Mus musculus: one gene and its partners. The protein of the gene in region 7 purifies or fractionates together with the protein of the main gene of each other region. This does not show direct contact. Links are inferred from orthologs where the notes say so. Each region holds a gene or a part of one and is shown on either strand. Other genes may lie near its edges. The genes, in order: 1700037H04Rik, Pfdn6, Ccdc85c, Ylpm1, Wdr92, Ppp1r12a and Ppp1ca.

Evidence for each region.
Region 1: the proteins of Ppp1ca (region 7) and 1700037H04Rik purify together in Homo sapiens (affinity purification with mass spectrometry; 4 studies listed by BioGRID and IntAct, counting the BioPlex papers as one, with this or other methods). This does not show direct contact. The link is inferred for Mus musculus from reciprocal best matches to the Homo sapiens genes PPP1CA and ADISSP.
Region 2: the proteins of Ppp1ca (region 7) and Pfdn6 purify together in Homo sapiens (affinity purification with mass spectrometry; 3 studies listed by BioGRID and IntAct, with this or other methods). This does not show direct contact. The link is inferred for Mus musculus from reciprocal best matches to the Homo sapiens genes PPP1CA and PFDN6.
Region 3: the proteins of Ppp1ca (region 7) and Ccdc85c purify together in Homo sapiens (affinity purification with mass spectrometry; 4 studies listed by BioGRID and IntAct, counting the BioPlex papers as one, with this or other methods). This does not show direct contact. The link is inferred for Mus musculus from reciprocal best matches to the Homo sapiens genes PPP1CA and CCDC85C.
Region 4: the proteins of Ppp1ca (region 7) and Ylpm1 purify together in Homo sapiens (affinity purification with mass spectrometry; 3 studies listed by BioGRID and IntAct, counting the BioPlex papers as one, with this or other methods). This does not show direct contact. The link is inferred for Mus musculus from reciprocal best matches to the Homo sapiens genes PPP1CA and YLPM1.
Region 5: the proteins of Ppp1ca (region 7) and Wdr92 purify together in Homo sapiens (affinity purification with mass spectrometry; 6 studies listed by BioGRID and IntAct, counting the BioPlex papers as one, with this or other methods). This does not show direct contact. The link is inferred for Mus musculus from reciprocal best matches to the Homo sapiens genes PPP1CA and DNAAF10.
Region 6: the proteins of Ppp1ca (region 7) and Ppp1r12a purify together in Homo sapiens (affinity purification with mass spectrometry; 3 studies listed by BioGRID and IntAct, with this or other methods). This does not show direct contact. The link is inferred for Mus musculus from reciprocal best matches to the Homo sapiens genes PPP1CA and PPP1R12A.

Annotation. Positions count from the first base shown.
Region 1 is NC_000068.7:131,157,282-131,161,336, reverse strand, and holds the start of 1700037H04Rik (UPF0687 protein C20orf27 homolog), read left to right. Parts: upstream 1-1,255; 5' UTR 1,256-1,384; exon of another isoform or gene 1,385-1,832; intron 1,833-2,320; exon of another isoform or gene 2,321-2,950; intron 2,951-3,985; exon of another isoform or gene 3,986-4,040; intron 4,041-4,055. UniProt on the Homo sapiens protein: Adipocyte-secreted protein (adipokine) that acts as a key regulator for white adipose tissue (WAT) thermogenesis and glucose homeostasis at least in part through activation of protein kinase A (PKA).
Region 2 is NC_000083.6:33,938,409-33,941,692, reverse strand, and holds Pfdn6 (prefoldin subunit 6), read left to right. Parts: upstream 1-1,349; 5' UTR 1,350-1,605; coding exon 1,606-1,669; intron 1,670-1,874; coding exon 1,875-1,945; intron 1,946-2,029; coding exon 2,030-2,154; intron 2,155-2,581; coding exon 2,582-2,705; 3' UTR 2,706-2,784; downstream 2,785-3,284. Other genes in the region: Wdr46 (WD repeat-containing protein 46), read right to left, coding at 1-60, 175-287, 421-501, 602-808, 934-1,044. UniProt on the Homo sapiens protein: Binds specifically to cytosolic chaperonin (c-CPN) and transfers target proteins to it. Binds to nascent polypeptide chain and promotes folding in an environment in which there are many competing pathways for nonnative proteins.
Region 3 is NC_000078.6:108,272,594-108,276,893, reverse strand, and holds the start of Ccdc85c (coiled-coil domain-containing protein 85C), read left to right. Parts: upstream 1-1,500; 5' UTR 1,501-1,760; coding exon 1,761-2,556; intron 2,557-4,300. UniProt on the Homo sapiens protein: May play a role in cell-cell adhesion and epithelium development through its interaction with proteins of the beta-catenin family. May play an important role in cortical development, especially in the maintenance of radial glia.
Region 4 is NC_000078.6:85,069,321-85,072,176, forward strand, and holds part of Ylpm1 (YLP motif-containing protein 1), read left to right. Parts: intron 1-298; coding exon 299-445; 3' UTR 446-479; intron 480-784; 3' UTR 785-2,856. UniProt on the Homo sapiens protein: Plays a role in the reduction of telomerase activity during differentiation of embryonic stem cells by binding to the core promoter of TERT and controlling its down-regulation.
Region 5 is NC_000077.6:17,221,893-17,225,392, forward strand, and holds part of Wdr92 (WD repeat-containing protein 92), read left to right. Parts: intron 1-304; coding exon 305-435; intron 436-2,656; coding exon 2,657-2,758; intron 2,759-3,500. UniProt on the Homo sapiens protein: Key assembly factor specifically required for the stability of axonemal dynein heavy chains in cytoplasm.
Region 6 is NC_000076.6:108,252,598-108,256,097, forward strand, and holds part of Ppp1r12a (protein phosphatase 1 regulatory subunit 12A), read left to right. Parts: intron 1-159; coding exon 160-327; intron 328-727; coding exon 728-898; intron 899-3,500. UniProt on the Homo sapiens protein: Key regulator of protein phosphatase 1C (PPP1C). Mediates binding to myosin. As part of the PPP1C complex, involved in dephosphorylation of PLK1. Capable of inhibiting HIF1AN-dependent suppression of HIF1A activity.
Region 7 is NC_000085.6:4,191,013-4,194,973, forward strand, and holds the start of Ppp1ca (serine/threonine-protein phosphatase PP1-alpha catalytic subunit), read left to right. Parts: upstream 1-1,161; 5' UTR 1,162-1,204; coding exon 1,205-1,259; intron 1,260-1,732; coding exon 1,733-1,864; intron 1,865-2,009; coding exon 2,010-2,240; intron 2,241-2,754; coding exon 2,755-2,859; intron 2,860-3,454; coding exon 3,455-3,678; intron 3,679-3,759; coding exon 3,760-3,894; intron 3,895-3,961. UniProt on the Homo sapiens protein: Protein phosphatase that associates with over 200 regulatory proteins to form highly specific holoenzymes which dephosphorylate hundreds of biological targets.

The DNA of each region.
Region 1 (4,055 bases), on a different chromosome or scaffold from region 7:
CCTTGGTTCTTGTTTTGAATGTAAATGTGAGAATGTGTTGTTAGATCTGATATTTCAAAAGAAGACTGGAAATGAGAATCCTTTGTGAAGAAGTAGGATGAGGGGCAAGAAGATGGGAAGAAAAGTATTTATAAAAGTCTCCGGGGGCTATACATCTGCAGGCTGCTTTTGCCTGGCGTGGTGGCCTTCAGGATACTTTGGAGGCACTGTCTGCTGACTTGGAAAAGAACAGATATGGAACACACCACGGGGCTTCTGGAAAGGTGGGAGTAGGGGTTGAGTAGGCTGGGATTAGAATGAAAAGTTCTCAATGTCCGCTCTGGAGGACAGAATTTTCTCAACAGTAGGGAGCGCACGTACCATCCAAAACAACGATAAAAAGTTTGAGAAGCCCTGCTGAAGACAGCAGGGAAGCACTGGGCCCTCTGAAGTAACGCTATGAAAACAATAGCACAGAAAGACTATTTGTTACCAGCGTGCGAACACAAGATCCGAGTCAGGTTAACAGCCATAAGGACACGGAAGAGTCGGACCTTGAGGACTCTTACAGGCAGCGACCACATTCTATCGGAAAAACAAGCAAGCTCTCAGCGGTCCAAGGCCTGTCTCCGCTAGTTAAGTTGGAAGGATCGGGAACCTGTGTGTTCTGACTGCTCTTTCGGCACTTTAAACCTCTTGTCCTAATCAGTGTATATAAGGATAGAGATAGTCGCACACGGACAGGTGGGCCTGTGGCAAAAATCCACAAGCCTTAGTAAGTGCTCTACGAAGACGCCCACACCCTGTCGGGTGGGTCGAGACGCATCCCGCTGCCATGGCGACCGCCTCCTTGGAGACCAGGAGCAGAAGCTCCTGTCCCCGGGGGCGCCCGCGTACGCTCCCTTCCCCCCTTCCTACGCCGCGTGCCTTCTTTGTTCTAATGCTTATTTGGAATAGGGAATGGGTGGGAAAGGAAGACCGAAATCCAGACTCAGTCCAGTAGGAAAGGTGACTGCTTAACTCCTAGACAAAACTGCCGCGGATCGGAAACCTCATGGGGAAGGTCGCTCTGGTCGGTTTCCAGCAGCGGTTCCAACATAGCTCCCATCCCGCTTCATCACCCAAGCTCGTGCCGCTGGGGTGACGTCGACTCGTGGGGCTCAGCCTCCGCGCACACGTGATGTGGAATCTCGTCGTTAATTGGTGGATCTCAGAGACAGCTCATTGGTCTGAAGTGCCCTAGCCCCGCCCCTCAACGCCCCTCAAGCCAATGAAGGAGGAGAGGGCGTGGCGCGAGGCTGATGCGGCGCGGGGCTCTTCCTCGCGCTCTCCAGCCCGTTCTGCTGCTGCTACCGCCGCCTCCGCGGTCGTTTCTGACCGCCTGGCCGCGGGGCTCGCCTGCAAGGTGAGATGGGCCCTCCGGGCTCCGTCTAGTTCACCAGAGACGGCTCCTGGGTCTGAGATCCTCAGCTGTGCTGGAGCTGGAGGCTTTGCTTTCTAGCCTGAGGAACTCTGTAGAAGCGGGATGGGGTGGGGGATGTGGGGTCCTGGGTACAAATGACGGTTAGCGGGCAGGGTACAAGTGACACCTGAGGGTGGGGGCGTAAATGTGGCTGACGTCCCGTTCCTACCTGGTCCTCGTGGCTCTATGTGACCTTGGAAGAGTAGCCTCTGAGCCTCCGGTGCCCGGGCACGATCATGAGGAGGATGTTGATGTTGGGAGTGTCGGCTCCAGAGACTCCTGCGTCAGCCTGGCGAGCTCAGAGAGCGCAGGGCATTATCTCAGATGGACAGATCCGCGGCCTTGCTCTTGGTGTGGGTACGTCTGAGGCCCGTTCTGCTGCTCTTGTCCCCTGAGAAAACAATAACACTGAGGTGGGGCGTGCCACACCCACAGGGATGGCGGTAGGAAAGGCCAGAGGGCCAGAGCCAGAGCCTCTCCAGTGTCTCACAGAAATGGTTGGATTTAGGTTCTGGACCAGTGCTCCTGTTAGTGAACAGGGCTCGGTTGGACAGCTTGAGTCTTTCCTCTTTAATCTTGGTGGTGGGATGTGAAGGTAGGGCATTGCTTTGCACTGGGGTGGGGTGGGGTGGGCTGGGTGGGTGGTGGGTGGGTGGGTGGGGGGTAGGAGCAGCTTTCACCCGTGTCTCTGCTTCTTGGGTGAAAGAGTCAATCTAGAGGCCAGATGAATCCAAGCAGCCTCCTTTGATGTCAGAGGGGGATGTGGGAAGTGAATGCTAGGCAGAGGAGAACCACACAGGTTGGTAGACAGGAGGGACTAACACCCTTTTCACAGGTCAACCCTTCCCTCCACTGTTTGTGAGAGTAAACACCTATTACCGTCCTTGCATCCCTGGCTTTGGGGAAGGGGGCTCCAAAGATAGGTCAAGGCTGAGGAGATGAAAGATTGCTTCCACATGCGACCTCCATGTAGCACTCCCTGTCTGAGACTTCAGTGGGTGTTCTTTGAGCTTTAAGGGGAGGTTGGATAAGTGCTTCTGCTGGGCTGATGATTGAGCTGTGACTGGGTCCCTGGATGGGTGTAGGGGAGGTGGTAGGAAGAATTGAAGGTTGTTTACTGCTCTGACATAGAAAGGGCTTTTATGGGGTTGGGAATGGTGGTTGAAGAATGATTCAGAGAGGAGACGGTAAAAGGTTTGGGGCTGTGCTCCCAGCCACACAGCACAACGCAAGCTGAAATTGGCTCTGTGATACCTTGGGGCTTAAAGGCTGCCTCTGGGAAGAGGTAGGTAATCAGAAGGGAGAGAGAGTGTCACAATGCAAGAGTTCCGTTTTGCCATGGGTAGATCACCTTTGCCTCTTAGCTTGGAGCTTGAGTGCTAGAACAGGGCAGCCTGGACTGGACAATGAAAAAGGCCTTATGACACCGAAGACCCTGGATTTTTCCATAACCACCACCTGTTTACCCACATGCTAGCTCTTTGGGAAGGTAGCTTCAGAGCTTTCCCCGCCCACATTTTAGTCACTCCAATTTCCCTAAGAGCATCTGAAATACCAAGAAGCCCTCAGTGTGCCCCCGCCTGAAGCTGTCCAGGATCTCACCTGACTTATGTATATTTGTTTTTTACTTACTAATTATTTGGAGATATTGTCTCAGGTGGCCCAGACTGTCCTTACAATCACTCTGTAGCCAAGGATGACTTGAACTCTGATCCTCCGGCTTCTACTAACCAAGTCTGCCTGCTGCCATACCCAGTTTTCTCTCCTCTCACTCCTGATTTGTCGACAGCCATCTAAGGGCAGGGGCATCATCTTCTTTGCCAGATGAGGGGCCTAAAGTAGAAAAGGCACCACAGCAGCCTCCTCCATAGTCTTCCCAGAGCCTGGTGCCCTGGAGTGAGGAAAGGAAGAAGGGCAGGGGAGGGGCCTCCTTCATCTCTTAGCTAGTTTCTGAGAAGCTGAACTCTCCGAGGACTCCTCCAAGAGTGACCAGAAGTGCCTTTCTTCCGGTGAAATTGCCTTTGCTCTAGGAACCAAGTCCCCAGAGCTCTGTTTTTGTGGTGGTTAAGGGTTGAGGAGGGAGAGTAGAGGGTGCTGGCATTTTCACAGAGTCCTAGGCACAGCCACACAGGCCCAGAGAAGAGCAGGCAGGCCACTGCTTACTCTATTGGAGAAGTGAAATGGCTTGTCCTCACAGCCAATGGGGCATGTGTGTGTGGGGGGGTCTAGTCTGAATTTGATTGGCTACTGTCCCCCCATCCCCAGGGTGGGGAGGGGTCTGTGTGGTTTAGGTGACAGTGGGAACTTGGCTAGCACAGGTGCAGGCTGGAGGCATGGCCAGGCTAGAAGTTGTGAGGTGGCCTAGCAGGTCCCTGTGGACAGGACTACAGCGGGAGAGGCCCAGTGGCCTCTTTTCCTGCTTCTAATGAGGAATTTGTATGGATGAGTGTAGCTCCCATGGGGCGGCCACTAGCAGGTTGTCTGGTGTGAAAGGAGGTTTGGTTTTTTCAGGCTCTCATGGGTCCCTGCTGTTACTTGCCTTACCATTCTTAGGGTTACAGGCGGTTCCTGCACGATGGCTCGCCTTCAGAGTCTGGCCTCTGCAGGAAATGGA
Region 2 (3,284 bases), on a different chromosome or scaffold from region 7:
TCCACGATGTCTGTCTGCAGGATTTTTGCCGTGTCTTCCCCATCTTCTCCTACCAGAAACCTAAAAGGCAGTTAGGATGACGACGGTGACGGTCCCCACCATGCAGCGGGCATACAAACATAAAAACGCAGAGAGACAGGACAGCGGGGAAAGCCCAGGTCGGGGTCCACTCACCCAGGTTCCTCTGCAAGCAGCAGCTCAGCGCGGGCGGCTCTGACGCTTGCCTCTTCCTCTTGCGCTTCAGCCTTCTCGAGTTTGCTTTGAGTTTTAGGCTTCGAATGTGGGAGCTACGGCATTGTTGACAGGGTTGCAAGAACCGAAGAGCATATGTGGGGGTCCCAGGAAAACCACTGGGGAAGCCGCCACCACCTCATCCAAACCCTCGGCCTCCAATCCCTCTGACAGCCCGCCGGTCCTCACCGTTTTGGACTTGTCAATTCGACAAAACTTCCGGGCCTCCTCCAGGGGGGCGGGGACGGGTCCTGGGAACGGGTCCTGAGCCTGGCGAGGACAAGGAGGCAGGAGGCAGATTCTGATGGATCCGGTTCCTCTCGATCTCCGGGGACGACCTGCACCGCCACCCTGTCAACCCCAGGCTCACCCCCGACAGCGTCCTCTGAGGCTTCTTCCAGTCTGGAGCGGTCTTTGAGATCGGGGGCTTCTTGGAGAACCGGGACTTCTGGGCGATGTGCGCGCTCTTGGACCTCGGGGGTCGCGACTCCCCAGTCCTCGCCTTCTTCCGAGGCGGCCCCGGGGAGGTGGCGACGGCGGCCGGGGTGGTCTCCTCCTCCCAGTAGCGCCGCGGTTTCTAAGGGGCAGAGGAAAAGCCTTCGCACACGCTGCCCGAGCCTGGGCCCGGGACGCGGACACCTCCCACCAAAGCTACCTTCCTCTTGGCCTGAGGCTTGTCTCTCTTGGGTGGGACACCCCTACCCGGCTTGGGGGCTGTCTCCATCTCCAAGACCGAACAACGATCCACGTGCGAAACTCCCTTGAGTAGTAGCTCGGCGGTCTAGGAAAACTTCCGGAAGTCCCCCCCTTCATCCAATCAGCGCCGTACCGGCGTCTGAAGCCTCCGGCGCCATGTTAAGTGAGGGCATGCCTCTGTGAGCCCGGGAGGATCGCCCGAGGAGCAGCTTATAACCAAATAAAGATTTAAAAAGCATGTATGAGCCCCGAATCTTGTTAACTATGAGCTTAGATTTTTCCATATTAACTTTTCTGTCTTGCCCAAAACCTCTCGAGCCGAGTCTTTTAGGTCGAACGAGCCTCACACAAGTCAGAACTACATGTTCCAGCATGTATCGGAATGTAACTTCCGGCGCCGTCTTTTTCTCTCCCGTCATGCCTTGTTTACTTCCGGGTTTATTGATTACAGCGGGTAGAGCGTGAAGAGGTTAGCGTTTGGCTTGGAGGGTTCGGGGATCTCTTCTTTCGCTCTCCTTTGCCTAGGGAGTGGCTATTCTGGACGAAAAGAGGCTGCGGCGCCTCGGAGAGTTGCGGGTAGAAAGTGCTGTCCTTCTGCAGGGTCAGGGAGGGGGGATTCAGGTGCCTCCCAGAGCTTGAGACCCAGCGACCCCCGCCCAGGAGGCTTTCTCCTTCACCATGGCTGAACTGATCCAAAAGAAGCTGCAGGGAGAGGTAGAGAAATATCAACAGCTGCAGAAGGGTAAGAGAGGGAGTTGGTGTGGTCTCGCTCCTGTCCGCTCTCATCTATGATGAAGCGTCGCGCCCCATTGGGGGCTGCGGGGGTGCATCTTGTTACCCCTCGCCTCGGTATCGTCGCTTTCTTCCTCACACCCAGTCTCCCCAGAATTGCGCGGTTCTGGGCCCATTTGATGTTTTTAATCGTGCATTTCCTCTCTCCACCCCAGACTTGAGTAAATCTATGTCAGGGAGGCAGAAGCTCGAAGCACAGCTAACGGAAAACAATATCGTGAAGGAGGTGAGGATGGGACGCGGGGGTGGGGGGCGAGGAGGGACTCTCCTGGGCACGATCATCTCATTCACTGCCTCATCCCCTTCTCAGGAGCTGGCCCTGCTGGATGGATCCAACGTGGTCTTTAAGCTTCTGGGACCCGTGCTTGTCAAACAGGAGCTGGGGGAGGCTCGGGCCACAGTAGGGAAGAGGCTAGACTACATCACAGCAGAAATGTAAGTCCTGCGGATGGCGTTTTCAGTGCACAAGTGTTAAACCCGTGCTGGATAGTTCTCCACTTACCCATTTCTGTAAAGTCCTGGCTGCCCTGGAACTCGCTCTGTAGACGGGGCTGACCTGACACAGATGCGCCTGCTGCCGCCTCCTAAAGGATGGGATTAAAGGCATGTGGCACCACTCCTGGCCTTTCTTGCTGTGTGACATCTGGTGAGGGCACTTGTCAAAGGACAACCTGCGGGAATGTTTGCCTCCCTACTGTGGGGTTCTGTAGCTTGAATTCAGGTGCCAGCCTTGGAGGACAGCAGCCCTCTCTTCCCCTTAGTGCCATCCCCGCTTTCTGTCCCACAAACCTCCAGTCTTCCACCATATCATTGAGCCCTGGCTGATATCTCCTCTCCGTTTGCCTCCCTTTGCCCTCCTCAGCAAGCGCTACGAATCACAGCTTCGGGACCTCGAGCGGCAGTCAGAGCAACAGAGGGAAACCCTTGCTCAACTGCAGCAGGAGTTTCAGCGGGCCCAAGCTGCAAAGGCTCCTGGGAAAGCCTGACCCCGTGGGAGGGGGTCAGGAGGGAGGGATGAGGCTAACCCTGAGCCAATAAAATGTAAACAGAACCAAGCCTACTTTACAGCCAGTCTTTCTTCACTGTACTTCCATTCCCGTACACTTTTACACCTCTTGAGATTCACGGTCTTGTGACTGAAATCTCTCAGTGGCCGGATTCTGTTTTGCTTTCCTGTGGCTGAGAACTGTGCCCAGGGTGTTTCCTTGGGTCCCTTCAGTTTCAAAACTTTAGTCTGAAACGTCTCAAGCTATTTCTTGCCTGTACATACAACCCTTTGACTTCCCTACGTTGGTTGGCGTAACCGGGAGACACGGGAGAAGACACTGTCTACAGTGCAGCATGTTGTTCGTTGCCATAGAACTCAGTTCTCTGGCCTGAGAGCCCAGGAAATGACAGTCACTCACGGTGAGCACTTGTCTCCCCAAGCAGCCCTAGCCCTAGACTGTTACCTGATTTCCCCGTCTATCTTCTCAGGGTTGGTTTGAATGTAACTTTTTTTGGTTTTGGAGACAGGGTTTCCCTGTGTAGTCCTGGAACTCACTCTGTAGTGAGGCTGGCCTCGA
Region 3 (4,300 bases), on a different chromosome or scaffold from region 7:
TGCTGTTCCTTTCACCTGTCCGGCCTCCAGGCTTACCTTTGTCCTTGTCACTCAGGTTTAGGTCCTAGCTCCTAGGTCCCTCCCAGAACACAGATCTAAGGCAATTGAATTCCCCGCATAGCGCTGCAGACAGCCTCACCGATTCTTCTCACGTTGTACTCTCTCCCTCCTCCCAAGAATGCCAAGTGCCCTCAGAGAGCAGTGGCCTCTTGTCCCGGTAGAATTCCCCCGGGATGGGGAAGGTGTAAGAGGGCACATGAGGTGGTTTAGTAAACGGCTGAGTAACTGTAAAAGGGGGATGTCAGCTGCTGCGCGGGCACGCGCTCCAGGCCCGGGTAGCTTACCCCGGTTTGTGCGCGCGCAGAGTGGGTTATCTCCTTGTAGGTCCAGGGGAAACGCATCCTTCCCTCGGCCCGCTGGCTGCAGAAGCGCTGTTAAATGCGCTTAGGGGACGGGATTTATAGGTGTGGGAAGATCCGTATGCTCCGCAGCGATGCGGGGCGAGGGAAGAAGGTTCTGCGGTCGCTGAGTACCTATGGACCCCAGCTATCTGGCCAGGGTGGAAGACCTTCCCTCGCCTTTCTCAGGGGTTTCCACCTAGCGAACTGCATGTTCTTCCAATCCCAGGGATTTAGCGGTGTAGTGCGCGGAAGGGAAGGGCTCGGAGAACTGCTCTGGGAAAAGGGCAGGTCCTCGGCTCCCACCACGTCAGGGGAAGAAGGGAGAGAGATCTGGCCCTGAGATAAGGCTGGCAAGGCTCCACGGTCTTGGGCTAGGGGTGGGAAGACAGCCCCGCTGCAATATTAGGCAGGGACCCAGGTGGCTCTGGTCGGTGGCCCGGAAAGGGACAAAGACCAGCCCTGCCCGACCCCCCATGTCAGGGTCCTATTGTTCCTCCTCTCTCGGACTGTACCGAACTCTGGTGCCCCCGAGAGGGAGGGAGGGAGGGAGAGAGCTGTGCTCGCCGGGTGGGCATCTGTTTATTAAGGGTGAGAAAGGGAGGGTCAGGGACGCTGGCCGGATAAGGGACGCGTAAATTCGCGCGTCGCCTTTAAGGGAAGCCCTGCCCTACCTTTCCCACCGGTCCCCGCCACCCCCTAGCCCTACCTGCATTTTAAAACCCCTTGTAGTCCTGGGATTGGCCCAGGCCGCGTCCTCCGGGCGAAGAAACTTGAACCGGGAGTGTGGGGGGGAGGAGGGTGCAAGGCCCCGCGGTTGGAAGATACCATCTTTTCAGCCTCCCCGCGCGCGCCCCGCCCCTCCCGCACACCCCCGAACCTGGCCAATCAGACCTGTGGGAGGGCGGGACCGTGGCTCGAGCGCGCCTCTGGCAGGGCGCCCGGCGGGCCGGCGCACCGCGTAGGGGGACCTCGGGGGCCTGCCACTCCTCTGACCGCCTCCCTTTCGGAGGCGTGGCCCAACGGCGGCGCCCCGCCCCCTCTCCGCCCGGGGTGGGCGGGGCAGCTGGGGCTCCGGGAGCGGGGCCGGGGGCGGGCCTCCGCCTGCTGCGCCCGAGCTCGGAGAGCCGGGGCACCGCGGCCGCCGACGCAGCCACGGTCCCGGTTCCTCAGTCCTGAGGCGTGCGCGGGCTCTCGGGTGACCCCAGAGGGGGCCGCGGGAGGGAGCGCGAGGCGGCGAAGGGCGGGCCGCACGCGTCCCCAGCCGCCCCCCGCGCGCGCGTGGCCGAGCCCAGAGAAGCCCCGGCGCGGGGAGCGCCGGCCCGGCGCGGGCGAGGGCGATGCCGCGGTGACGGCCCCGCCATGGCGAAGCCCCCGGCGGTGGCGGCGGCGGCTGCAGCGGCGGCGTCGGAGGAGCTGAGCCAGGTCCCGGACGAGGAACTGCTGCGCTGGAGCAAGGAGGAGCTGGCGCGGCGGCTGCGGCGCGCCGAGGGCGAGAAGGTGGGCCTCATGCTGGAGCACGGCGGCCTGATGCGCGACGTGAACCGGCGGCTGCAGCAGCACCTGCTGGAGATCCGCGGCCTCAAGGACGTGAACCAGCGGCTGCAGGACGACAATCAGGAGCTGCGTGAGCTCTGCTGTTTCCTGGACGACGACCGGCAGAAAGGGCGCAAGCTGGCGCGCGAGTGGCAGCGCTTCGGACGCCACGCGGCCGGCGCCGTGTGGCACGAGGTGGCCCGCTCGCAGCAGAAGCTACGGGAGCTCGAGGCGCGCCAGGAGGCCCTGCTGCGCGAGAACCTGGAGCTGAAAGAGCTGGTGCTGTTGCTGGACGAGGAGCGCGCGGCGCTGGCGGCGGCGGGGGGCGCTGGCGGCGGCGGCGGCGGCGCGGGCTCCCGCAGCTCCATCGACAGCCAGGCCAGCCTGAGCGGGCCCCTGGCGGGGAGCGCAGCGGGCTCGGGGGCCCGCGACGTTGGCGACGGCAGCAGCACGTCCAGTGCGGGCAGCGGCGGCAGCCCGGACCACCACCACCACGTCCCAGCGGCTCTGCTGCCCCCGGGGCCGCACAAGGTTCCGGACGGCAAGGCCGGAGCCACGCGCCGGTCTCTGGATGACCTGTCAGCGCCGCCGCACCACCGAAGCATCCCTAACGGCCTGCACGGTAAGCATCTCGCCGGGATCGGAAGCCCATGGGTGTCTGTCGTGAAGCAGTAGTAGTTTCTGGAGACCTCACAGGTGCGGGGTGGGGGTGGGGTCGCACCTTCAGACCCTTCCGCAGCTGGCATAGCAAATGGAGCATTCGGCGTGGTGGTGTCCCTGTCTAGCTGATGCCGCAGAAAAAAGTTTCTCCTCCGCAGCTTTTTGTGTTACCAGCTGGCACTCTGGGGCTGTCGAGGGGTGTCTCTCATCCTACCCTGAAAACACTTGAGGGCAGAGGAGAGTTTTTCTTGGAAGACTATGAAAGGCCCCTAAGCTAAAGCAAGTGAATTTTCCCTTCTGGTTGGAGTCCCTCAAACTCACTTAGCACCCACGACTGCACTGTGCTGTGGCTGGCTTTCTCCCCTGCTTCCTTCCCAGCTGAATCTCCTCCTGGGCTGGGCTGGGCTGGCACACAATCACCCGTGCTGAGACCTTGACGAAGCTGGGCCAGAGTACCCTGGGCTAAGATAAGAGTCTTCCTGGCTTCCCATAAGTCCCGCAGTACTGGTTGGGACACCTTTCTCAGTTCGGTCTCTACAGTTTTCCCCAGAGGATATATTTGGAGTGGATTCCGACCTCTCCGTGTGCCTCAGTTTCCTTTCTTCCTTGCTTGTAAGTTGGAGAGGCTGATGGCCGCCTCACCGGGGTGTGAGGTGGAGATAGATAATGCCCCTGAAGAGATCTGTAAGCTTGATCGTCTTACAGGAAGTGCTGGGGTCATCTGTGGCCAGAGTGTGGGTTGGAAGCCGGCTCTGTCTTCCTCAACCTGTTGCTATTGACCCTACAGGAGGGTGTCCCCACCTAGGGTACTGTGGCTGTCCCTTCAGTGGCGATCTGGGCCCTGCAGCTTCCCTCCTGTCCTGACTACCATTTGCTGTGCTACTCCGTTTCCCCCACAGTTTTTTGGAGCTTGGCTCTCAGTGTTGATGGCACTTGCCTTTGCCTGAATTGTTCCCCTGGTAGCGAAGAGTAACTCGCCCTTTCTGTTCTCCTTAAAGCCTTTCTCCATCCATATACTGTCAAGGCTTAGAAGAACTTCTCTTCCCCAAACTCACTGCTGGAGCTGAGGACCAAGCTTTTTCTTGGGTTTCCTGGCCAAGCCCTCTGCAGGCATTTTGAGGCAGGAGCTGCAGTTCTCATGCAGGTCAGATAGAGGTTTCCCCTTTATTTACTCTCCAGAGCTTGTGAGTTCAGGAAAGGACTGGGGCTAAAGGGATATTTTGTTACTGATTAGCAATCTACCACAGCAACTCAGGTTTCTTTTTGTAACATTGCATCCACAGGGCCTTACCCCGACAGCTATTCACTCATGCTCTAGATGCCAAGTTCTAGTTTACTTTGGGGGAACGGACACCCCTCTTTACAGAGCTGGCATGCATCTCTTTGGCTTCACCTTCTTGGGGGGGGGGCTATTCACTCATGCTCTAGATGCCAAGTTCCAGTTTACTTTGGGGGAACGGACACCCCTCTTTACAGAGCTGGCATGCATCTCTTTGGCTTCACCTTCTTGAGGGGGGGGGCTCTGGGAGGGCCAGTGTTCAGGGTCTTGATTTCCCCAAGTGCATCATGAAGGAGGGGAATCTTTGCACTTAGGGAAACACAGGGCTGCTGGTTTTCAGCTATGTCATCAGTAACAGTGGTCAGGGTGAGTCTCCTCAGGACACTGTCTCGCTGAGTGTCTCCACCTCTTTGCAGACAGTCTTTTT
Region 4 (2,856 bases), on a different chromosome or scaffold from region 7:
TTTAGCTCACATAGAATGCCTTTGGCGCTGGCCAGAGATGACGTGGAGCCGATAGGATGTGTCAAGAGACCTTTAGTGGTAGGGCTCTGTCTTATAATTATGGGAACGTTTTGAAACAGGTAAGAGTCACAACTGTGTATTTTAAGGTCACTTTGGCGGAGAATGAAAACAGTTTTTTTGACTTCTTGTAATTTTAAGTCAGTTAATCTACCCAAATAATAATAACATATTATCCAAAGAGGTTGCCTTTGGGGTTCCCTCCCTCAAACAGCCCAGTCTAATGCTTTTTTCTCTTTAGGTGAGATGGGCAGACCTAGAAGAAAAGAAGGATGCAGATAGGAAAAGGGCCATAGGTTTTGTGGTCGGACAGACTGATTGGGAGAAGATCACAGATGAGAGTGGTCACCTGGCTGAAAGAGCCCTCAATCGGACCAAATATATATGAGACTTAGTTTTGAATGGAGTCATGTTCCTCTAAGGTAAGGGCACCCAGGCATAGAAATCGCCTGTCATGTGGTTGCTTCCAAGGTACTGAGGACAGCATACTTTACTAAAAATGATTTTTCTAGCTCTGAACAAGTAAGTATGTGCTAGTACAATAACATTTGCAATACAGAAAAGAAAGCAGCTATTTGTAACCCAGCTCACTTGTAAAAGACTTAAGAGAGCTTGGGTTCTGTGTCCCTAGGGAAGATGGAGTCATGCTATGACAGATGCTGAGGTCTGCTAAGTCGTCTGTGTTCCTTTCCTTTCCTGGAGTGACCCCGTTTTCTTCTCTTTCCAGGTGGTTCGATGTGAGGCGACCTGAAGCTCAGCCCTCGGGAAGCTTCTTGTGTCTGGAAGCTTCTTGTGTCTCCACGTTTCAATTTTGTTTTGTTTTACCACTTTCATTTTTAAACGTTTTCCAGTATCCCCCCCAAAATTTTAGAATCTTGCTATATCCAAGCAAGACATTATTAATATTTTTTTTAAACTAATTTGGGGAGGGAGGGTTAGCTTAAGTGCTAAGTCAGGTGTGGATCCACAGGAGGGTTCCAACAGAGTGTTTCCTCCACTGTATACTGTCACAGACTATCATCATTGCTTTGTGGCTGGTTTTGTTTTTTTACTGTATGTAACAAGTAGCTGATTGTACTTGGATAAAAAACAATAAACTTTCACTATAAAGCCAATGAGATTCATAGGCTGTACAGTATGGGCCCTTTTCTCTTATTTTCTTACATTTATTTTTATTGTTAATTAAATGCAGTATGTCCTGCTTGCTGACCACCCCCAAACCACCTCTTTACTATTGAATATTAGCACAGCTGTTTGGTAGCACATTGTAAAACTCCATGATTGCAAAGTGTCCAGTGATGACCAAAACATTCAACTTTATAGATGGAGTTCTCTTTCTTTGTGTCTTAAAGACTAACAGAATCAAGTCTAAATATCCATCAATTTTCTGAGACATCTCTCTCTCTCTCTCTCTCCCTCTCTCTCTCTCTCTCTCTCCCTCCCTCCCTCCCCCCTCAGGAGGGGGAAATACGGTGTTACCTCTTTATTCTTCCTTTCTCTTTGTGCTACCTTGTTTGATTTCCTCCCTCTCCCCCCCCCCCCTTTAGCTGGTTTTAAATACAGGTGAACAGAAATGATACATTCCATAGAACTCAAGTTGTTGCCTTGTTTTGAACTTGAATCGTTGCTTTCTAAGACAGGATCATGGTAAAGGAGTATGAAAAGTCTCCAGCCCTCTGGCAAGCAGTCTTTGAGCCTGGCCAGCTTTTCAGGCTCTTGCCAGATTGCTCATTATTGTAAAACTTGGCCTTCAGCATAGAATTTCATCTCCTGTGGATAATCCCACTCAGAACCCAGAAGCAGAGCTTACATCCAGATAACATTCTTCCTTAAGTATAGAAAGGAGGTGCTTGCTTTTTATCAGTCTTCACAGATAGAGATGAACTTTCTTCCTCAAACACTATTTCTTGGTGGCAAGCCAGCTCAACAACTTGGGAACATGTTAACAGATGACCTCAGCATTATGTCATGGTTGGAAATCTTTAGTTTTTCAATCTACATTAAATACTGTGCTTGGAGCTAATATTTCTTAGCAGTTCAGGAGTGTTACTTTGGGTTCAGTAATGACCTTCTCAGACTGAAGGCACTAATCGTAACATCTTCCTGTACTTTTCCCTCAAATTCTGAATGTTTATGCCTAAAAGACTAGGTTCATTAACAAGTTAATATTGAATGTATAATTTGCTTAATTTAATGATTTGCACTGTTTGTAATGTTTAATAATCTATTTTGGTGGCTAAGGACTGTAATCTATTTCTGCATATGGATCCATCTTAGCTACCTTTATTATACTGGAAAATGTTACATGGTAAGATAGCCAAATAGAGCTATTGTTTGTACAAAGACTCATTTAACACTTATCTTTTCTTACTAAAGTAAGACTTGTAAAGTTATTTTCCTGCTTGAGAAGAAAAGAAGGCCTCTTTGTTCCTCACCTTTAACCTTTGTGTAGCATTTGAAACACCCGAGAGATGAGTGTTGGTTACCCACGAATCATGGGTCTCAGCATCGTCAGCCATGGCCTGTGGCAGTTTTCAGAAAGTAGTTAGAGGAGCCACAGTCAAGAGCTGCCTGCTTTCAGAAGTGGGTTCATCTACAGAGAGTCAGAAAAAAGAACCAGAAAGCAGTAAGGAAGATAACCAATTAATACTTGATTCTACAAGGCCAGTAGGAAACTCTTAAGAAATCCTAATTTTTATTATCACCTAAACCAACAGAATAGAAGGTCAAGTGGTATCTTGGGGAGTTTTGGGTTGGGTAAACATTTTGTAGTGAGTCAACTCTTCTTAGTTACAGTAC
Region 5 (3,500 bases), on a different chromosome or scaffold from region 7:
TTATCCATTCCTGTCTTGATGGGTCCATTTCCTGTGCTGTTGAGTCCGTTTCAGAGAATCCTTGCCTGTGCTTCTGGCATCCAGGGTATCACGTGTGTTTTCCTCTAGTGTTTTCAGAGCCTCTGTCTTAGGTTAAAGTCGTCCATTTTGCATTGTTTTTTGTTTTTATTGATTTTAGTTTAGTTGGCTTTAAGGCCATGTGATAAGTAGTTATGTATTTTAGTTTAATTGGTTTGAAGGCCATGTGATAAGCAGTTATGTATTTTAAGGCCATGTGATAAGCAGTTATGTATTTTCTGCTTAGGAACTTGGAAGCTCCAGAGATGCCAGTGTATTCTGTAAAGGGCCACAAAGAAATCATAAATACCATAGATGGTGTAGGTGGACTTGGAATTGGGGAAGGAGCCCCTGAAATCGTGACGGGCAGCCGTGATGGTGAGTCAGTCTTAAGTACTGAGCAAATGTTTAATGGAACCTCTGTGTGCTGCCATATCCTCTGCACACAGAATCCTCTGGTTGGCTTGACTCTGTATCTACCATACATCTGCATTTATTTGTGCATCTGCATTATAACAGACAAGTTTTATTGCACATCTCTCATTCAGTTCCAGCTTCTGTGTATTTGCAGGGAGAGACCCAGCACTGAATATTTCAATGTGGACTTAGTTCAACAACTAACAATGAGCTGAGTTTGAAATACTTATAAGTCTTCGAGGGTTTCTGAAGCAGCCATGGGATATGTGAGGCAGCTTCTCATCTTCTTTCTAAAATGCAGTTACTACTTAGCAGACTGTCAGGTTGACAGGTACCTGAAGACGTGTTCTGTGATGTGTCCATGAGCATCCCAGCACTGGCCTCAGGGACCAACAGACCCAGCTTGGATGACTAATGGGCCCACGTTTTGTTGTCTCATATGGAGATGCGTCAGTTGCTCTCAAAAGATTACTATAAAAGAAAAATGAGCTATCACTTTCTAATAGTTACTGGTGAGCAGAGGTGTGCTAGAATGACTTTTCATGGGAGCTCCGTGGGGCACGTGGATGGCGAGTAGTTCATCGTGCTGCCATTGCCATTGCCATTGTGCTTCTCCCCCGTACTTAGAGGTCTGCAGATGCAGATGCTTCCGTAGCTCTTTAGCTTAATGGCTGTAACATTCCATCGTGTGGCCGTAACATCATACCATGCTTCCGTAACAACCATTCCAAGGTTTCTGGGTGTTCTTAGGATAGAGGCTTGAAGTTTTAAAGAAGTGATGTATGTAAGTCCTGGGGGATATTTTATGATTTATAAAATGCTCTTGTGCCTGAGGGTGTTTGATGCCACAGTGTAGGGGAATGCCAGGGCGGTAAGACGGGAGTGGGTGGGTGGGTGGGTAAGGGAGCACCCTCACAGAGGCAGGGGGAGTGCAGATGGGATAGGGGGTTTCTGAAGGGAAGACCTGGAAAGGGAAAACATTTGAAATGTAAATAAAGAAAACATCCAATTTAAAAAGAAAAAACAAAAGAAAAAAGAATGTATTTCTAAATAACCCATAGTACCCATTTCCCTGGCCAGCTATAGTGGATGAGGGACTACAAGTGGTTGGCATTGCTTTTTCCTGTTGTGAGTTTGTAGACTAGAAGCTGCCCTCCATCTCCACTGTCCTCCTTCTCCACTGTCCTCCGTCTCCATGTGTGCTAGTGTCAGTGCCTGTGTATTGATTAGTTCTGTGTTTTGAATTGTCTTTATGTTCTTTGCCAATTCCAGTGTGGAAAACTTACAAAGCTCTTAATGACTTGTACAAACCCGTAGCTGAGATGGTGATCTCTGTCAGAACTGTGGGAGTCCCCTCCACATAGGACTGTAGCCTTTCTGGTGACAGCTCTATCCCTGGTCTCTTGCAGGGGTATTTTTTCCCTTCCCTGTTCATGTTCACATGTAGGCCATTTAGCCATCTCAGTACATGCAATCATGTTGATTGTAGGCTATGACACTAGTTACTATGTAGATTACTAACTACACTACTAGTTAGTAATCCTATAATATGAATTAATATAAGAGGGTTGAAACTTAGTTTAATCTAATTTTATTAATATTCCCTCCTCATTAACTTTTGCGGGAAAGCTAAGCTTAATTCTGTGTGAGGCAGATGGGGTTGTTTCTTCTTCTGTGTCAACAAGTGAAACTGGACCTCATGCATGCTGGTCACTCTGCCATGAACTGCCTCGCTAGCAGCTGAAATGGCCCTTTAGAACCCCATATAAAAATGTAGTGACAGCCCTTATTCTTCTGTATAAGACAAGAACCAATCAATGGTTATATGTGTAGTAAGAAAAGCAAAGTTAAAATGATACTCCCATTATTCTAAGTGTGTTTGTATGTATGTGGTACTAACCCAGACAATAGGGCCTGTTTTGAGTGTCCCTCAAAACTTACAGATAGCCTAGGAATACTTTTGGGTTTTCTCTGATTTAGGAATCATTTCTAATACTAACATGGAGTTGTGTCTGGTATCAAGTACAACTTAACCATTTTGAAGTCAGAAAAAACATGAATAGTTTACAGATGTTGTAACAATTATTGTCGCGTATATAGATAACTGTGGAAAGAGAACGCAAACAAACAGGAAGTGTGATCAGTCACTATGAATTTTGCCAATGCCTTTTATCTATGACAGGAACTGTAAAGGTGTGGGACCCAAGGCAAAAAGAGGATCCTGTCGCTAACATGGAACCTGCACAAGGAGAAAACAAGAGAGACTGTTGGACCGTGGCATTTGGTAAGTTACTGACAAGGTACTGCACTTCAGGTTCATCACGGTTCAGGAGATTATGGGCAGGCTCCGGTAGCCTGTTCTGTAGACTGTTCTGAGATTTGTCCAGTCAGGTACCATAGACTTAATATCAGCCCCGGGCTAGGATTTTATCTTCACTGTGCTATTATTGTGTGCCTTGGGGAAATTACTGTATGTACAGTGTAGCTAATAGAATTTGCTTAATAGTGTTGAGGAACCAATGAAGTAATGTCACTAAAGCTCTTAGAATGTGCATAGTGTTGAAAATATTTACTATTATTACAATAGTTTTTAGTTTAATTGATAATATTGACCTAGTTTAGTACCAAATGCCATTAATAGGGTTAAGCAAAGCCTCAAATGCAGATGATACCCTAAAAAAAAAAAATCTCAAATTACATTTTACATAGTGTTTACTTTCTAGAAAATAGTCATGCCATGCCATTGCATACTTTTTTCTTTTCTTTTCTTTTTTTTTTTTTTTTTTTTGGTTTTTCGAGACAGGGTTTCTCTGTGTAGCCTTGGCTGTCCTGGAACTCACTCTGTAGACCAGGCTGGCCTCGAACTCAGAAATCCACCTGCCTCTGCCCCCCCGAGTGCTGGGATTAAAGGCGTGCACCACCACGCCTGGCCACATAATTATTTCTTATAAGTCTGAAATTAATTAACCTTGTATTAATATACTTGTAATGTGAATTGATCTTGTCAGTGTTGCTGCTTGTCTTTG
Region 6 (3,500 bases), on a different chromosome or scaffold from region 7:
TACTCTAGCAATTGTAGGTCCAACTCTTGGTGCTGGAGCTGGTGGTCTGATGAGGAGCACAGTTTGTTTTCTACTGTGTGCAGTTGTGTGATATCTGAGATAGTGAATGTAGCGTCCACATACAGACACATCCTACATAGAAATGCCTCTTTCCTTTAGTTGCTCCTTTGGTAGAAGACAAGATGATTTGATTAGTTGTAGTGTTCCAAGCACCACATCAACACCAACAGTTACCTCTGCAGCGGGGCTTCAGAGAAGCCTCCCTTCCAGCACAAGCACTGCTGCAAAGACTCCCCCGGGTTCCTCCTCCGCAGGCACACAGAGCAGGTGAGTCACAGAGACGGTCTGTGTCCAGGTCTACTGTGTGCTTATGTGCGTGCATGCATCGTTGTGTAGACAAATGTGGGCTCTGGATTTTTTTATTTACCATGTCAAAATTGTTTTTAAGCAAAAATTGGTTCCAAAAAAAACCAAAAAAACAACAACAAAAAAAAAACAAAAAACAAGCAATTATGCATGTCTGGGGAAAAAATATTAAGGTCTTAAATCATATTGCTTAAAATAAAAATTTATTTCTTTGGCAGCTCTGCGTGAGCTGTTTGATTACTAATCTTGTGTTTTTAAAAAATCCATCCCTGTGGTCACCTGTTTTCAGCTTCTAGAAATGGCTTTCGTTGTTTAGCTGTTTTCCTTTTCTCTTTTTGTGTTGCTGCTTATGATGCTATAGTACCTCAAATCGTTTGTGGGCTGAGGATAGTACTGAGAAAGAAAAGGACAGTGCTCCTACTGCAGTGACCATTCCTGTGGCTCCAACTGTTGTAAATGCTGCAGCTCCTTCCACCACCACCCTGACTACAACTACTGCTGGCACTGTTTCCGAGGTCAGGGAGAGACGCAGGTGTGTACAGGTCCTCTCAGTACTAGTTTCTGCTGATATGCTTGGCCAGTTTCTGGTATTTTGTGTTCTTTGCTTGTTTGTTTTGTTATTCTTGGAAATGTGATATGTATTAGTAACTACTTTTCTGTTTCTGTGCTAAAATACCATGACCAAGGCATTTTATAGAAGAAGGGGGTGGGCCAGAGAGATGGATGGCTCAGCAGTTAAGATGCCCTTCCAGAGGTCCTGAATTCAATTCCCAGCAACCACATGGTGGCTCACAACCATCTATACAGTGTGCTCACATACAAAAAAAAATAATAATTCTTTTTTAAAAAAAGATTAAGGGGATTTTGCTTATAGGTTCATAGCGTTAGAGTCCATAAATGTCTGGGTAAAGGCGGCAGGCAGCTGTGGCTAGAGAGTGATTCTGAGAGCTCCTTACATCTTGAACTGCAGCATAAGAAGGAGGAAGAGCTGGGAATGGTAGGGTCTTTAATATCTCAGAGCCCATCACCAGTGGCATACTTCCTCCAAGAAGGGCAGACTTGCAAAGCCCCCTCACGCAGCTCTCCCAACTGGGAACGGAGTGTTAAAATATGTGATCCTAAGAGGCATTCTCATTCAAACCACCACAATGACCAATCATCTTAATAGGCTAATAAATGAAATGTCATGTATTGACTCCAGCCTAGGGAAATGGGCACAGCTAGCAGTTATTAGCAGTTAGGCGTTTTAGTCATCTCTGAAAGAATTGATGTCTGGGTCAATAAAGGCAAAGCCAGACAACTGTCTTCCTAGATGTTAATTATCTTAGTGTTGTGTGTGTGTGTGTGTGTGTGTGTGTGTGTGTGTGTGTGTGTGTGTGCGTGTGTGTGCGCGTGCGCATTCGAGAGCACATGTGTTGTGAAGACTTGGGAGAAAATATATTACAACATACCAAGATTAATTGTTCTTGTTACAAAGGAAATAGATGTATTTTAAACAGTTTTGTGTTTAATTTTCATTGTAAGATTATATAAGGTTAGCCGTGTAGCTTAGTGGTAAAGCCATTGCTTCAGGTATCAGTCCCAGGTTCACTCTTTTTGTCTTCCCCTTTCTTCCCAGTTCTTTCCCCCTCCAGCTCCTTACCTCCTCCCTCCTCGTCCTTCCTTTTGCTTCCTTCCTCTTTTTCTTCACTGGGGGTCAAACAAGGGGCTTCTGTCTACCATTGAGTTACACTGGAGACACTTATCTTTTTTTTGTTTGTTTTTTTTGTTTGTTTGTTTGTTTTTGGTTTTTTGTTTTTTTTCGAGACAGGGTTTCTCTGTTTAGCCCTGGCTGTCGTGGAACTCACTTTGTAGACCAGGCTGGCCTCGAACTCAGAAATCCGCCTGCCTCTGCCTCCCAAGTGCTGGGATTAAAGGCGTGCGCCACCACTCCCCAACCCCCCCAACCCCCCGGCCCGAGACACTTGTATCTTAATTACTTATAAATCAGCAGTTGGAAAGAAAGGTCCAGACTCCGTTTTATCTCTTAAGATTCCATGCTTTTAATTTAAACAAAAGTCTCAGTGACAGCATGCAATGAATATCCCCTCAGAATCAGCAATTATTTTAGAATCAAATATGATTCTCTCCTCCCGTCTTTCCTCCCCCGTCAGAGCTAGGCTCAAAACCAGTGCCTTGTGTATTCCGTGACAGCTGTAGTACTCAGGTTTATTGATTGCATTTAAGAAGAGAATTGAGGAGGGTATGGCTTTTAAAAATTAGTCTTAATTTTAGTGGAGGATATTAAAGATTAAAAAAATAATCTTTGGGCTAGAGAGATGGCTCAGTCGTTAAGAGCACCGACTGCTCTTCAGAAGATCCTGAGTTCAAATCCCAGCAACCACATGGTGGCTCACAACCAACCATAAAAAGATCTGACTCCCTCTTCTGGGGTGTCTGAAGACAACTACAGTGTACATACATATAATAAATAAATAAATCCTTAAAAATGAATAAGTAAATAAATAAATAATCTTTATTACATTCACCAAAGATTATTTTAGTGGCATAAGAAACAAAATGTTTATCTTTTTTTCTGTTAAAACTGAAAACAGTCTGTATTGCTTAAACACTATCACAGTTCTGCCTTTTTTTTTTTTTTTTTTTTTGGTTTTTTGAGACAGGGTTTCTCTGTGTAGCCCTGGCTGTCCTGGAACTCACTTTGTAGACCAGGCTGGCCTCGAACTCAGTACTGCCTTCAAAAAAAGCTTTAAAAGAGTCATCTCCGTGTACCAGCATCGTTACTAGGGTGGAATCCTAGTTATGGTTAAAGACATGGAAGTAAAGCCAGGTTCCTTCATAGAGAATTTACAGAGCCTACTACACTCTGGCTTTCTAGGTTTTTTCATTTGGTTTTCAGACCCTTCATCTAGTTCCCACGTTTTCTGCTGCCTGGCAGTCCTGTCTGCCTTCGGGCCTCATCCAATCTCTTCCTAGATTTCTTATCTGTCTCTGGGTGTTGGCAGTAGTTGCCCCTTGGCTGTCACCATCTGTATGGTGACAGATAAAGACCCACCGACATCATCTGCGTCAATGGGAGAGGTCTGGAGAGGTGCACAGATGATTAACACCATGTTGACCACTGGCTTAAGTCC
Region 7 (3,961 bases):
GCTCACCTCCTTGCTGCACCTCACCTCTTCTTCTCACTTCCTCCTCAGTCTCAGCTCAGCAGCTTGCTGGGGGCCCCTCCCTGGTGGGGGGACTCCCCCCTTCCTCTGTGAGGTTCTTCCTGCTTGCCCTAGTGCCAGAGCCACGACCTCCTCCCATCCAGAGGATGCTGGGTGTATTGATTCCCTGGCTGGCCCAAATTGAAGATGACAGGCCACCTTCAGTTTTACCAAGTAAAACCAATTTATGGTTCCAATAATAATTATCCTTTAATGTCATCCCACCCCTCCAACCCCCTGCCCCGGGTTTTTTGTTTTGTTTTGTTTTGAGAGTGAAGGGGTAGTGTGAGAACAGGGTCTTATGTAGCCCAGACAGGAGATGACCCTGAACTTCTGATCCTCCTGTGTCCAGACTCCTGAGTGCAGGAATTTCAGGCACTGGAATTATAGGTTTACGACACCAAGCCTACTTTAATGTTCCTTCCAGAGCCGGAGCTGGAACCTCAGGCCTTGCACATGCTAGACAAGTCCAAGTACTCTACAAAGGACTTACAACATGAACGAGATACAACGTATTACATCACTTATGGAAAAAAAATGGACGTAGCAGGCACCAAGGCAACCTGGACCAAAACACTGCTTAGAGTTCAGTAGCAGGTGTTCATGGGTCTGGCCATAAAGATGGAGGTGAATGTGAGGCTCCGGAGGTCTGGAGCCCACTCTCAGTATCATTAAGCCTTAGTTTCTTTTTCTGCACTTCGAGGAATTTATTTAGTGTTTGAGAAGTCAGCGATTAACATGCTCATACCACAGTCCCACGCAGGGCTGGGGTGGGAGAGACTTGGAAAGAGAAAAACAATTCCTACAGTACTTCCGGCCCTAACTCATCTGAACGCGGCAGGGCGATTCCTCCAGGGTGGAGCCGACCTAACCCCGCCCTACCGAACCCCGGCTCACCACCCCTGCCAGCCCCGCCCGCTCGCCCGAGGCCCTCTCGGGCTGCGGAGCTTCCCGTCCAGGGGAGGCGCTAGAGAGCGGGGAACTACGGACGCGGCAGGGCGGGGCGGGGCGGTCGACCGAAGAGGAGGGGCGGCGGGCCGGGGGCGGGCTGGGGAGGGCGGAAGGAGAGCCAGGCCGGAAGGAGGCTGTAAGAGGGCGGGAGGCAGGAGAGGGCCCGGAGCTGGTGGGCCGGAGCGGCGGCGCCGCCATGTCCGACAGCGAGAAGCTCAACCTGGACTCCATCATCGGGCGCCTGCTGGAAGGTGGGCAGGGGTAGGGAAGGTGCGCTCGCGCCGAGCCCGGGCCCCTCGCCGTCTGGAAGTGGCGCGCGGGCGGCCCGCCGCTCCCGGGGGCTAGCGTCGCTTGGGCGGGGACAGGCCGTGAGGATCCATGGCCACGGCACCCCCCCCCCCCGCGGGCGCCTGGGCTTTGGAGCGCGCTCAGAGGCCGGGGGTGCACGAGTGCCCGGGACTCAGGGTGAGGCTCCTGCGAAGCTAGCTGGGAAGGGATCCCGAAGCGAGGAAGCTTCGGCTGACAGGCTGCTGAGCACAGGCGTTTCTCTGGAGGCCCTCCGGGTGGCTAAGGGGTCGGATCTTGCCTTTGAAGGCCTGACGCAAAGGTTTCGGGGTGAGGGGGTGGGGGCTCACTTGCAACAGTTGCCCCTGTTAGGGGGGCGCGACACCTACCCTCGTCCGGTCTGCGAGGTCAGGGTCCCAAGACCCTATTCCGTACTCAGTGCAGGGCTCACGGCCTGGGAAGAACGTGCAGCTGACAGAGAACGAGATCCGTGGTCTGTGCCTCAAATCCCGGGAGATTTTCCTGAGCCAGCCCATTCTTCTGGAGCTTGAGGCGCCCCTCAAGATCTGTGGTAAATCCTTGCACAGAACCCTTTTGCTTCCTGAAAATAGCCCCTACTCGTGCCCCATTAACCGTGTTCCTCCACCCTTTAACCTATTGCTGGCCCTGGGGTCAAGTTTACATCTTGCACCTACCTAGTTTTCTCTGGTTCCCAGGTGACATCCATGGCCAGTACTATGACCTTCTACGGCTGTTTGAGTATGGTGGCTTCCCTCCAGAGAGCAACTACCTCTTCTTGGGGGATTATGTAGATCGGGGCAAGCAGTCTTTGGAGACCATCTGCCTGTTGCTGGCCTATAAGATCAGATACCCGGAGAATTTCTTTCTACTTCGTGGGAACCATGAGTGTGCCAGCATCAACCGCATTTATGGCTTCTATGATGAATGTAAGTGCTTTGAATGTTGCTGTCTGCCCAGAACTACATTCCCTGCTCTTCATGGGCCCCCTACATTGGTCTAGTGCCAAAAGACCCCCAATGATGAGCCCTGTAGGGCCCCAGCAACACGTCTGTCGTCCTTGGCGCTCAGGAGGGGCCTGGTGAATGGATGTACATGCAGGGCTGCCCATTTGCTAAAGCCACAGCCCTGCCTGATGACACCCCCTTCTAGTACATTCCTTAGTAAACATTTAGGATGCCTGTATGAATAAAACAGACCCACTCCTGGTTTGGCCTCATCCATGGGACCAGAGTGGGTACCACCATCATGGTTGGGCCAGACGAGTTCAGGTGTTGGAATTCTGGAAGGTAGATGAGGGTAGAGCAAAGAGAAGAATGTAAGCTTTCTTTGCTTTTCGGTCTTTTTTTCTCAGCTTTGTCCCTGGATGGGTGCACAGAAACCTAGACTGGGGTTGGGGGTTGGGGGTGTAGTCTTCCCTATGAGCCGCTTCCTTTTGCGCAGGCAAGAGAAGATACAACATCAAACTGTGGAAGACGTTCACTGACTGCTTCAACTGCCTGCCCATTGCAGCCATTGTGGATGAGAAGATCTTCTGCTGCCACGGGGGTGAGAGTGGTTGTGGGTCTGTGCTTGGGTTCTTGGGCCACATCCTTAGGGGCCTTGTAAAGTTAACAGAACTCTTCTCAGTTCCCTGGAATAGCGCTCCTTGAATCTCATCTTGGATATCGCTTATTAGGGGAGATTACCACACCCCCGTTTGTTTTTGAGACTGGCTTTCTGGGTAAAACCCTGACAGTCCTGGAACTCACTTTGTAGACCTGGTTGGCCTTGAACTCACTAGAGCTCCTGCCTATCTCTGACTCCCAAGTGATGGGATTAAAGGCATGCTCCACCCACCAGTTTGGTTGCACTCTTTCCTGTTGTGGCATGAGGCATCCTGTAGTCAACTCATTAATCTCCTTCTGCCCCCCCACCCCCGAGGTCTGCTATCTGTACTTCTAAGTGGTGGTGTCATATAAAGTGAGTTCCAGGACAGCCAAGGCCACAGAGAAATGGGGCCAGTGGGGAAGTAATGGATTCTGTCTCCCTGAACTTAAGGAGCCCAGATTAGCGGTGGGAACAGTGGAGCTGTCCCACCCCAGAGCTGGGCACAGGACAGCACTTGGTTTAAGGAACACTATTCCCACTCCACCACCCCCAGGCCTGTCTCCAGACTTGCAATCCATGGAGCAGATTAGGCGTATTATGCGGCCCACAGACGTGCCTGACCAGGGCCTACTGTGTGATCTCCTGTGGTCTGACCCTGACAAGGATGTTCAAGGCTGGGGCGAGAATGACCGTGGTGTCTCCTTTACCTTTGGGGCTGAGGTGGTAGCCAAGTTCCTGCACAAGCATGATTTGGACCTCATCTGCAGAGCACATCAGGTGGGCTGGTGGCCTGGGGCGGGCTGGGGGTGGGGGTGGGGTGCCTAACTTACAGACTAAACCGTTCCTGCCCTGGCCCAGGTTGTAGAAGATGGCTATGAGTTCTTTGCCAAGAGACAGTTGGTGACACTCTTCTCAGCTCCCAACTACTGTGGAGAGTTTGACAATGCTGGTGCCATGATGAGTGTGGATGAGACCCTCATGTGTTCCTTCCAGGTGGGTGTGGGGAAGAGGCTGCCCAATAGACGCCTGGCTCAACCCCAGGACCCTGATGAGTGTTTTC